2 linked regions of the Arabidopsis thaliana genome follow. The main gene of each other region encodes a partner of the protein of the gene in region 2 in a complex. Each region holds a gene or a part of one and is shown on either strand. Other genes may lie near its edges.

Region 1 (4,706 bases), on a different chromosome or scaffold from region 2:
CTGAGATTAAATAAAGATATTAATCATAAGTTTAGTTTTTGTTAGAAAAGAACTATGGATTCACACGTTAGACGGTGTATATTGACGAAAATATCTTTATCAATTTCTAATATTACAATAAGACTTCCGATAGATTTGAGAAGAGGAAAATTCAATTGTAAAAATACAGTGAAGAAAAATATGTAATTTTCATGATATTTGAAGAAATACATATGACTCCTTACATAACGTGAAATATTGACAGATATGTATAATTATTACATTAAAACATAGTTATTTTATGAAATACTAATGATATATTGGATAAAAGACATGTAATTTGTTTATATAACATGAAATCTTGACAAAAATATGAATCTGTTCCAAAAAAAAAATATGAGATTTTGTTAGATAGCTTGACAAAAATTTACAAGTCAATGTAAAGACTTAAGAGCATGTTTTGTCTTTGAAATACATGCGTTTTTTAAATCATATCTAATCTTATATGTCATGCCGACGAGTGATGGAGAAAATCCGGTGAAAGAGGAAAAAAAGAATAGATAGGAAAAAAAGAAAAATAATAAAAGGGTAAGATGGACCAAAGATCTTATAAAAACCCTGTCGTTGGTTAATTGTATAAATTCTCTAACAATTATATAAATTCAAGACCTGAAAGATTCATTTTTAAGCGCAAATGAAAACAATTGGAATTTCACATATACCACAAAAAGGCAAAAGACAAATTTCATTTTTCGAAAAGATCACAAGGAGAATCGAAAAACACACTCCCTATCCCTTACATACTTAATAGAAAACCAACAACAGACCAACTTCTTATGTAACTTTTGGTTTTCTCCACAATGGGAAGTTAGCAGATTTGGCAGCGAGTCTTTAAAACTTGTTGCATCAACCACGGCCGCGACCTGCTCCTGTTTTTCATAACATATTAGAGTTTTAGCTTAAATCCCATTGTGGCAAGACACAGATATTTGAAGTATTCTAGTAAAATCAGAGTTTTGTGACAAGCTTTGTTTGTGTATTTTTTACCTCTGTTGCCACCCATCTTCCCCATTGAAGTTCCTCTGCCTCTGCCTCTGGCTCCTCCATCATCCACACCACGTCCTCTTCCACGTCCAACACCTGGTGGTTTTCTATCTGCACATATTCAACCATCGTTATTAACACCTGAAGTATTCTCAATGTCTACTCTGGCAAAATATTAACACCTCAGAAAACTCGAAGCATATCTCAGTAAAGGTACAATATAGACATGAGTAATACTATACCTGTGCGTGTCTTCTCCTCCTGTACTTTATCAATCACCTGAAGAGAGAAGAAATCAATTTAAGTCAGTTAACTCAATCTAGGTTGCAGCAGTAAGAACATAAATAGAAACAGCATATGACTGTCCTTCTAGATGAAGATATCGTTTATGGTATGTGAATATAATTTGATTTTAGAGGGAATGAAATAAAGTAGAAACAATAGAGAAAAATCGCATCAGAAACACAACACAGCAAAGTCCATAAAAGTGGGTCAACATTCTGGTCAGCAATAACCATTCCCTGTGATATCGTCTAAGACGCACTACAACAAGAGGCACACCATCTGCTGAACAAGGTTCCACAGAAAAATGCCTCTTGGAGCACATATCTGATTTGGCTAAGCATCATCATTCCAGAGAGAGGGGAACAAAGAAAAAACTAGATCAAGCAAGAGATATATACACACACACACAAAAAAAAATTACCTCATCCGGAACTCGAAGGTACTTGATTGTGTTACCACGGATATAACATTCCGGCATCCTCCAAAATCTATCTCCGTCCTAGAGTAATCAAGCAGCAAAATATATGAGTGTCAGCTACACAAAATTTCATCACGAAGTCTAAACAAAGTATATTTGTATCAACATATGAAAACATAAGATAACCTTTGATGTACATATGACTTCACGCAGATGGATGTTCATCCAAGTATCACAATTCACCAAATGCCCATTGTATGTCTCTCCATTCTTAAGCTCCACGAGCTACCAAAACAAAACAAGATTCAAAATTACAGTAAAAGGAAGTTCCTTTAGATCCCTAATGCAATGCTCACTTAAACTCAGCTTCACTTCATATATAACAAAATTGTAATCAAGGGTCGAAATTTTACTCACCATAGGATGCCCTTGAGCAGTTTTAAGCAGCGATAGAGGAAGCTATAAAATCAAAACAACAGCTTTCAGTTAATAAAAATTGAAACTTTAACGCAAACAAGAAAGAAGGAAAAAAACCCTAAGTTTGTCTAGTAACTTACCATCTTCTTAAATCAGAAGATTTAGAGATCCGTTAAGAACCTGATGACATCAGAGAAGTATAACATTAAACCCTTTATAAGATGCGGAAGAAGCAATAGCGAAAACGGAACAAAAACCCTAATTCAGCTACTAAAAAAAATCTGAGAGAAAAGGGAGAAACCTTGTAATATACTCCGAAGATCGGCAAGAAGGTGAACGATTCAAATATGAAAGAGATCGAAGAATAGAGAGGCGTCGAAACTTCGAAATCTGTTTTTTGCTTTTTTCTGCTTCTCGGGTTTTGACAGTGAGAGGGATGGATTTCTAATGAATCGGTGGTCTTTTAGTTTTAGGTCAATGGGAACTTTTTTGAGTTTTGCACTCGAGTCCCTTAACTTTATAATATTATCTGTTTTAGTATATATTGTTAAACATATCAATCTAGCCAACTAATCCGATGTCGTCCAGCGGTTAGGATATCTGGCTTTCACCCAGGAGACCCGGGTTCGATTCCCGGCATCGGAGCTTTTTGTTTTAATTTTTCGTATACTTTGTCTACACCAAAGTGTATTTGTAGCCGTTGGCAATGGTTACCTGGTGGAAAATAACTAATCATTAATATGTTATTGATGCTCTCGAAATTAATTAATTTACATCACTAAGGCGAACTGTGTGAATCAAACAAAGCCAAGTGATATGTCAAATCTAATCCTAAACTTTTACAATTAAGCTTAAAGCCTCAGCAATGTGATTGTTAAAGCTATTTTGTAACCGACAATACTTCAGACCTCTCTAAATTATCAACCAACTCGAACGTTATTGAACCTCGACCAGCTCCAGTAACTAAATCTTAATCAAAGTTTCAATTACACACAACTGTGTAATTGTGAATCTGTAACTGGTTTGTTTCAGCACATGAAAAGCTGATAGTCAGGTTCGTGAGCTCCGACATTCAAGTAATTGACATCAACTGCGGTTGTTCCCAAATCATCTGGTGGAGAAGGATAAGACATAAAGTTTCAATAGAGCATAAATCTTTAAGAGACTTTGAGTGTATGTATGTGTAATCAAATGTGATCTACAATGAAGCAAATTGATGAGTGAGATGAGAGAAGGTATAGAGTTGTTCAAACCTTCGTATATTGTTCTTACAAACTTAACATAGTCAGGGATGAGATCTCGGTATATGATTCCATCCGGATGCGCATCAAGAACCACAAGTACACCTACAGATCAATCAAAGGAAAGGAAGATGTCAAACGTAACACTACAATTGTTTTCCACGATACTAATGAAAGACAAGATCATCTTGAAACTATGAAGTGTTTAGATCTTTTCTATTACTCTCAGAGATGAAAACAGATATTATACCTGGAGCAACCCAATCTGGAGAAGAGTTGCTAGGTAATGGTGCAAGCCAAAGGATATTCCTCAAGTTCATTGAATCATTGTATTTCACGTCAGATCCTAACAAAAAGGAGATACAATCATAATACTGAAGATTTAAGGGATTTCTGTGACCATTTCTATGTTTCAAGAGATTGCAAGAAAACTCACAGTCACACGGACAAGAACCCATATTACCTCTCTGGCAATATCCCATGTTGTAAGGAAACACTTTCTTGTCATAGGCTGGATACTCTTTAGCATGAAACCTACCATCACCAATCAGATACTAGTCAACAACAGTACTCAAAACCTAGCTCAACCATGTAACTTTCTATAAATATTCCCCAAAACTCATTACTTACGTTCAACCTTTCTAAAAACACTGCAACAATTGTGTTAAGAATCAGAAACCATTCTTCCTTTATTGATAACTGTTGGTTACATTCAAGAACACAAGAACAAACCCTAGAGAGTTCTCTTCACTCTCAAAGCCTAAATGCTCCCAATTAACCAAATGGTCTAGACCCCCTTATATCTACTATTCTAGTGCCTATCAAAGCGTCTCGATTCTTACACAACGAAGTCAGTAACAGAACATGATCATCATTACTATTTCAAGAGTCCTAGTGTGTGTTGAGGAGACAAAGGAGACTTACAATATTCCAAGGCGTCCAGATTCTGAGGCAAGGAATAAATGGCCATGGAACAAATCATATCTACTCAATGAAACATTCAATCCAACACTAGGTCCCCTAGATTCAATTAGATGAAACAAGAACTCGAAATATGAGTTCACTTCCTGTTCATTAACATCATCAATCAGATCACTACACCATAAGATCAAACAGTTCACAAAATAGCTTCTTTTTTTACCTCTGCTATAAAATGACGACCATAAGGAGTTCTAGTAAGTTGACATTTATCTTTTCTTGATCGTTCAACATCAGGAACCTATAAAACCAAATTTTAACCAATTCAATCTAACGAACAATAAACCAAATCAAACCATTAAATTGAAGACGAACCGGGATCATTTTCGGATTGAGAGTTCGCT
Region 2 (4,282 bases):
TGCTCAGCTTAGAGAAGAACTCCGAATATCGCTATCCGAGCATCTAATCCCTGCTTATAGATCGTTTCTTGGAAGGTTCAGGGGTCATATAGAGAGTGGAAGACACCCTGAGAACTATTTGAAATATTCGGTTGAAGATATCGAGACCATCGTTCTAGATTTCTTCGAAGGATATACCACACCACCACACTTGAGGAGGCGATAAAAGAAGATCGAAAACCCGAGAGTTCTATCTTCTTTCTTTCGTTTTTCAGTCACATTAGGATGTCATAGAAATAGAACCATTCTTTGAATTTTTATTCACGGGTTTCCTGCCCGGTGGAATAATCTCCAGGTGAACATATTTGTGTGTTGTTGTTTGTGCCATATGTCTTCTATTTATAAAAGTCCTGATTGATCACAGAACCAATAAGTACCATGTAAATTTTGCAATGTGCGACGTCCTCTACTCATTTGCTCCATTTTTGTTCCGTTTGGTAGTAGCCATAGGCAAGCTCCTTGTTTAAAAGTTCCAAAATAGAGAAAGAAATTGCTTAACATTTTTTTCTTAAAAAGGTAAATAGATCCAAAGACAAAAGTACACAGATTTATTGTCATATTCATCCAAAATGAAACACAAGAATTGCGTCGATCCCCTAAGTCAACACACCAAAAAGGCTCATCATAAAACTTGCGAGCCAAAGCAGAGCATCAAGCCAATAATGAATGGGGATACAATCTGGTTTAATCAAAGTCAAGAAACTCCATTCTCTTCCTCATTGTTCCTCTCAGCTCACTCGCTTCCCTCTCCACCTTTTGTGCCTGCATCAACAGACAGATTCCCGAAAACCAAATCATCAGCACGCACACAGCATCACAAATGAATCAAATTTGGCTAATCAAAATGAACATGTTATGCGATGTCTTACCCTTTTAATCTCTGCCTCTGAGACGCGAATCATATGTGGAGGAAGCTCTTCTCTCTCCGTGTCCTAATACATAGTTTAAGGTCAAACTCAGTGAATTGGAAAACACGAGGTGACACAGCAAGAAAAGACAAACAAGGAGAAGTCTTACCAGCTCACCAATCAAAACAACATTCTCTCCACGGATTACATAGAGGCCTAAAGGAATGTCACAGTATTGTTCACCAACAATTACCCTCTCACACGCACCTTCTAGAACCGCATTGGCTGTGTATTTACAACGAACAAAAAAAAGTCAAATCTCTCCCGCTCATCAACAATATCGTAAATCTAGAAACATGGAAAGAAAAGTGAATACCGAATTGATCAAAGGAACGGAGTGTTCCCATTAGCTTTCTACCATCTCTAAGAAGCACAAGTAGTTTTCCTGCATCATCAAGAGCAGAGCCAACATACATAAGTAACTGATGCACATTGATTCATATCTAAAAAAGAAAACGGTACGCCAAATGAGATTGAGAACTAACTCATAGCCCAAAAACATCAGCAAAAGAAGATCATTGACTTTTAAACTCAAAGAACCAACATCAAAAAGCCGATAGTGAATTAAATTTCAACAAAGGTTAAAGTTTATACTTCGTAAGTTGAATAAAGAGTGAGCCAGCAACCTCAATCACATCTAATCTCTCACGCATGCTAAAATTTAGCTTGACAACAATAACTGATGAACAGTTAGATTTGACCCAATTAAAAAAAAACTAAAGCTTTGATTCAATAATCAATATCTTAATCAATGAATGTCTCTTTGAGACAATTCAACACCAAAATTGACAAGCTTTGGATACAGCCACAAAATAGTACAGCCTATATATCAATAAGAAGTCAAAATCAAACGTCAAAAAAACAGAGAATTGTTTGCAAAATTGAGCTCCCAAATGCGTACAGAGCCATCACGGCCAATTATTTTAACTACATGCATTCATACGGTTCAACAAATATGTGAAACAGAGAGAAAGAGAGACGGATTTACTATCGAGATAACTAGCGAGTGATGTTGAAAGATAAATTTCTTCAGGACCAGCCCACGACATCGCCACTGACTTTGAAATTGAAGAAAACTTTCGGTCTTTCTATAGAACACTACCGATGATAATAATGTTCGTCAGATTCCAGCTGAAGAGATAAGATTTGGCTATTGAACGCGAACTTTGACAGGAAAAAAAAAAAGTGAAGACGGAAAGAGAAATCTAAATTAGGGTTTTGACCAAAGGGTTTAAATTGATAAAGTGATTAAAAAAGATTGAGACTTTCGACACCTGATCGAAGACGGACACGGGTTCTTCAAAAAAATATAAAACCCAGATCCGATCGAACTTTGGCTGAGAAAATTTGTTTGTGGAAAATTCGAAGAGAAAACTAGCGAGCAAATCCGTCCACTGTCCCTTTTTTATTATTTTCAAGCAATGTCCACGATTTCTTAACTCGATAGATAAGACGTTGTACTTTAATACTTTAAGCACTTTCCAATTTAATGTTAAATTTCCTAATAATTATTGTGACTGAATGTTTCTTAAATAAATGAGACTAATCTTCCAAGCTAATAAAATATCTGTTTCGAATAAATTTTAATTTATGGACCAAAAAAGTCGATTTAACACTATTATTATTTACTGCTTGATTTATGTTAAAACGCTTTTATGGGTAAGTCATCCAATAATATATTCCCACGTAAGCATCAGATCTCGGCGGCGCGAAACTACGCGGCGTTCGCTTAGCACAAAAACGTAGCGCAGTTTATTTAAAGCAAAACAAAAAATTCTGTTTTCACACTTTTGCATTGCAGCATCTTGTAGCTAACAACATCATCGGAGAGAAAGCAGCTTCCCCTTCCCGGAGATATCGTACATAAGCTAAAGCAACCTTAACCTTCCTTCTCCACTGTAAAACCCTCAAATTAAGGTCACGATTTCGTCTTATTTTTCCAGGTTTGATTCACAAAGAACTTCGTGTTTTAACGATGCTATTCTTGGGGTAGGATTTAGGGTTTTGTTTCTATAGTTCACCGATCCTGTTCAATTTTAAGCTAAATCACATTCAATTTTATGATTTGCATCGGTTAAAAGACGCGATAGTTATCAGGAGTAGGGTTTGTTGTGGTATTCGAGAAGTTTCAGGAAAGTGAGAGTTTTCTATTAATGGCTTCTTTTTTTTGTATCCCGAATTCTTTGGGGTTAATTGGTGAAAAGAATGTTCTTTGTACGAAATTATATCCAATTTTCCAGCTTTACATGTTTTTGGAGATTTCTGGAATAAGTCTGAGATACTTAAGAACGCATCTGGAGATTGAAATTGTGGCATCCAATGTAGTTTCAATCGATTTTGTCTTTAAATTTTGTATTCTTATTAGATTGAGTTTCGTCTTGGATTGAGCGAATTTGTTTCATTGATGATTTTAGGGATAGATTGATCATGGCAACTGCAACTATGGCAACAGCAGCTGGAGCAGCTGCTCTTTTATATTACACGTTGAATCGGAAATTAATAGCTGGTCCATCTGACGTTGACGATGAGAATTCTGAAGCTTCTGCTTCTCGTCCTTCTTTGAGGATTGACCGTGTTTCGCATAGGCTTATTCAAGCTCCGGCAACTTGGTTGGAGACTATTTCTACTCTTTCTGAGACTCTTCGTTTTACTTACTCTGAGACTCTTGGGAAGTGGCCTATTGGTGATCTTGCGTTTGGGATCAATTTTCTCATCAAGAGGCAGGTATAACATCTCTTCATCGTTTTAACGGTCTTAAGTTCTGGATTTTTTTCTAATTATCTTGTGGTCAAAATTGAACTTTTTGTAATTGTGTACCTAAAACCGTAGGGACTTCTACATGTTGATCGTGTCTTTGGTGGTAAAGATAGTGTAGAACTTAGAGGATCAGAAGTAGCCACTGAACTCAAATATCTTTTGCACTTGTTGACATTGTGTTGGCATTTTTCCAAGAAGTCGTTTCCGTTTTTCTTAGAAGAGACCGGCTTTACAAAGGAAAATGTCCTTATTCATGAACCCAAAGCTGGGGTAAACTTTAACAACTCTCAACTCTTAGGCACTTTTTCAACATAGAAATTGAGAAGTTTAGTTTTGAATTTTGCACCATGTAGATATTGAAGCCAGCTTTTACGGTTCTTGTCGATCACAATACAAAATATTTTCTGTTATTGATTCGTGGAACGCATAGCATCAAAGATACCTTGACTGCTGCAACTGGAGCAATCGTACCGTTCCATCATACTGTTGTAAATGAAAGAGGGGTCAGCAATTTGGTCTTAGGTTATGCTCATTGTGGTATGGTTGCTGCTGCCCGGTGTATAGCTAAACTTGCCACC

What was found.
Region 1: LSM1B (region 2) and emb1644 share a complex: the UniProt entries of both Arabidopsis thaliana proteins name them as parts of the heptameric LSM1-LSM7 complex.

Annotation. Positions count from the first base shown.
Region 1 is NC_003076.8:9,813,484-9,818,189, reverse strand, and holds emb1644 (Small nuclear ribonucleoprotein family protein), read right to left. Parts: upstream 2,691-4,706; 5' UTR 2,445-2,690; intron 2,324-2,444; 5' UTR 2,287-2,323; coding exon 2,284-2,286; intron 2,186-2,283; coding exon 2,144-2,185; intron 2,012-2,143; coding exon 1,913-2,011; intron 1,808-1,912; coding exon 1,730-1,807; intron 1,661-1,729; exon of another isoform or gene 1,523-1,660; intron 1,303-1,522; coding exon 1,266-1,302; intron 1,135-1,265; coding exon 1,027-1,134; intron 909-1,026; coding exon 886-908; 3' UTR 572-885; downstream 1-571. Other genes in the region: AT5G27710 (T-box protein), read right to left, coding at 3,172-3,254, 3,397-3,489, 3,635-3,730, 3,848-3,918, 4,309-4,451, 4,526-4,603, 4,678-4,706. UniProt on the Arabidopsis thaliana protein: Component of LSM protein complexes, which are involved in RNA processing. Component of the cytoplasmic LSM1-LSM7 complex which is involved in mRNA degradation by promoting decapping and leading to accurate 5'-3' mRNA decay.
Region 2 is NC_003074.8:4,665,431-4,669,712, reverse strand, and holds LSM1B (Small nuclear ribonucleoprotein family protein), read right to left. Parts: upstream 2,406-4,282; 5' UTR 2,222-2,405; exon of another isoform or gene 2,112-2,221; 5' UTR 1,997-2,111; coding exon 1,936-1,996; intron 1,384-1,935; exon of another isoform or gene 1,364-1,383; coding exon of another isoform or gene 1,333-1,363; coding exon 1,264-1,332; intron 1,173-1,263; coding exon 1,057-1,172; intron 972-1,056; coding exon 909-971; intron 802-908; coding exon 724-801; 3' UTR 519-723; downstream 1-518. Other genes in the region: EXO70D3 (exocyst subunit exo70 family protein D3), read left to right, coding at 1-205; AT3G14075 (Mono-/di-acylglycerol lipase, N-terminal;Lipase, class 3), read left to right, coding at 3,375-3,671, 3,777-3,974, 4,058-4,282. UniProt on the Arabidopsis thaliana protein: Component of the cytoplasmic LSM1-LSM7 complex which is involved in mRNA degradation by promoting decapping and leading to accurate 5'-3' mRNA decay.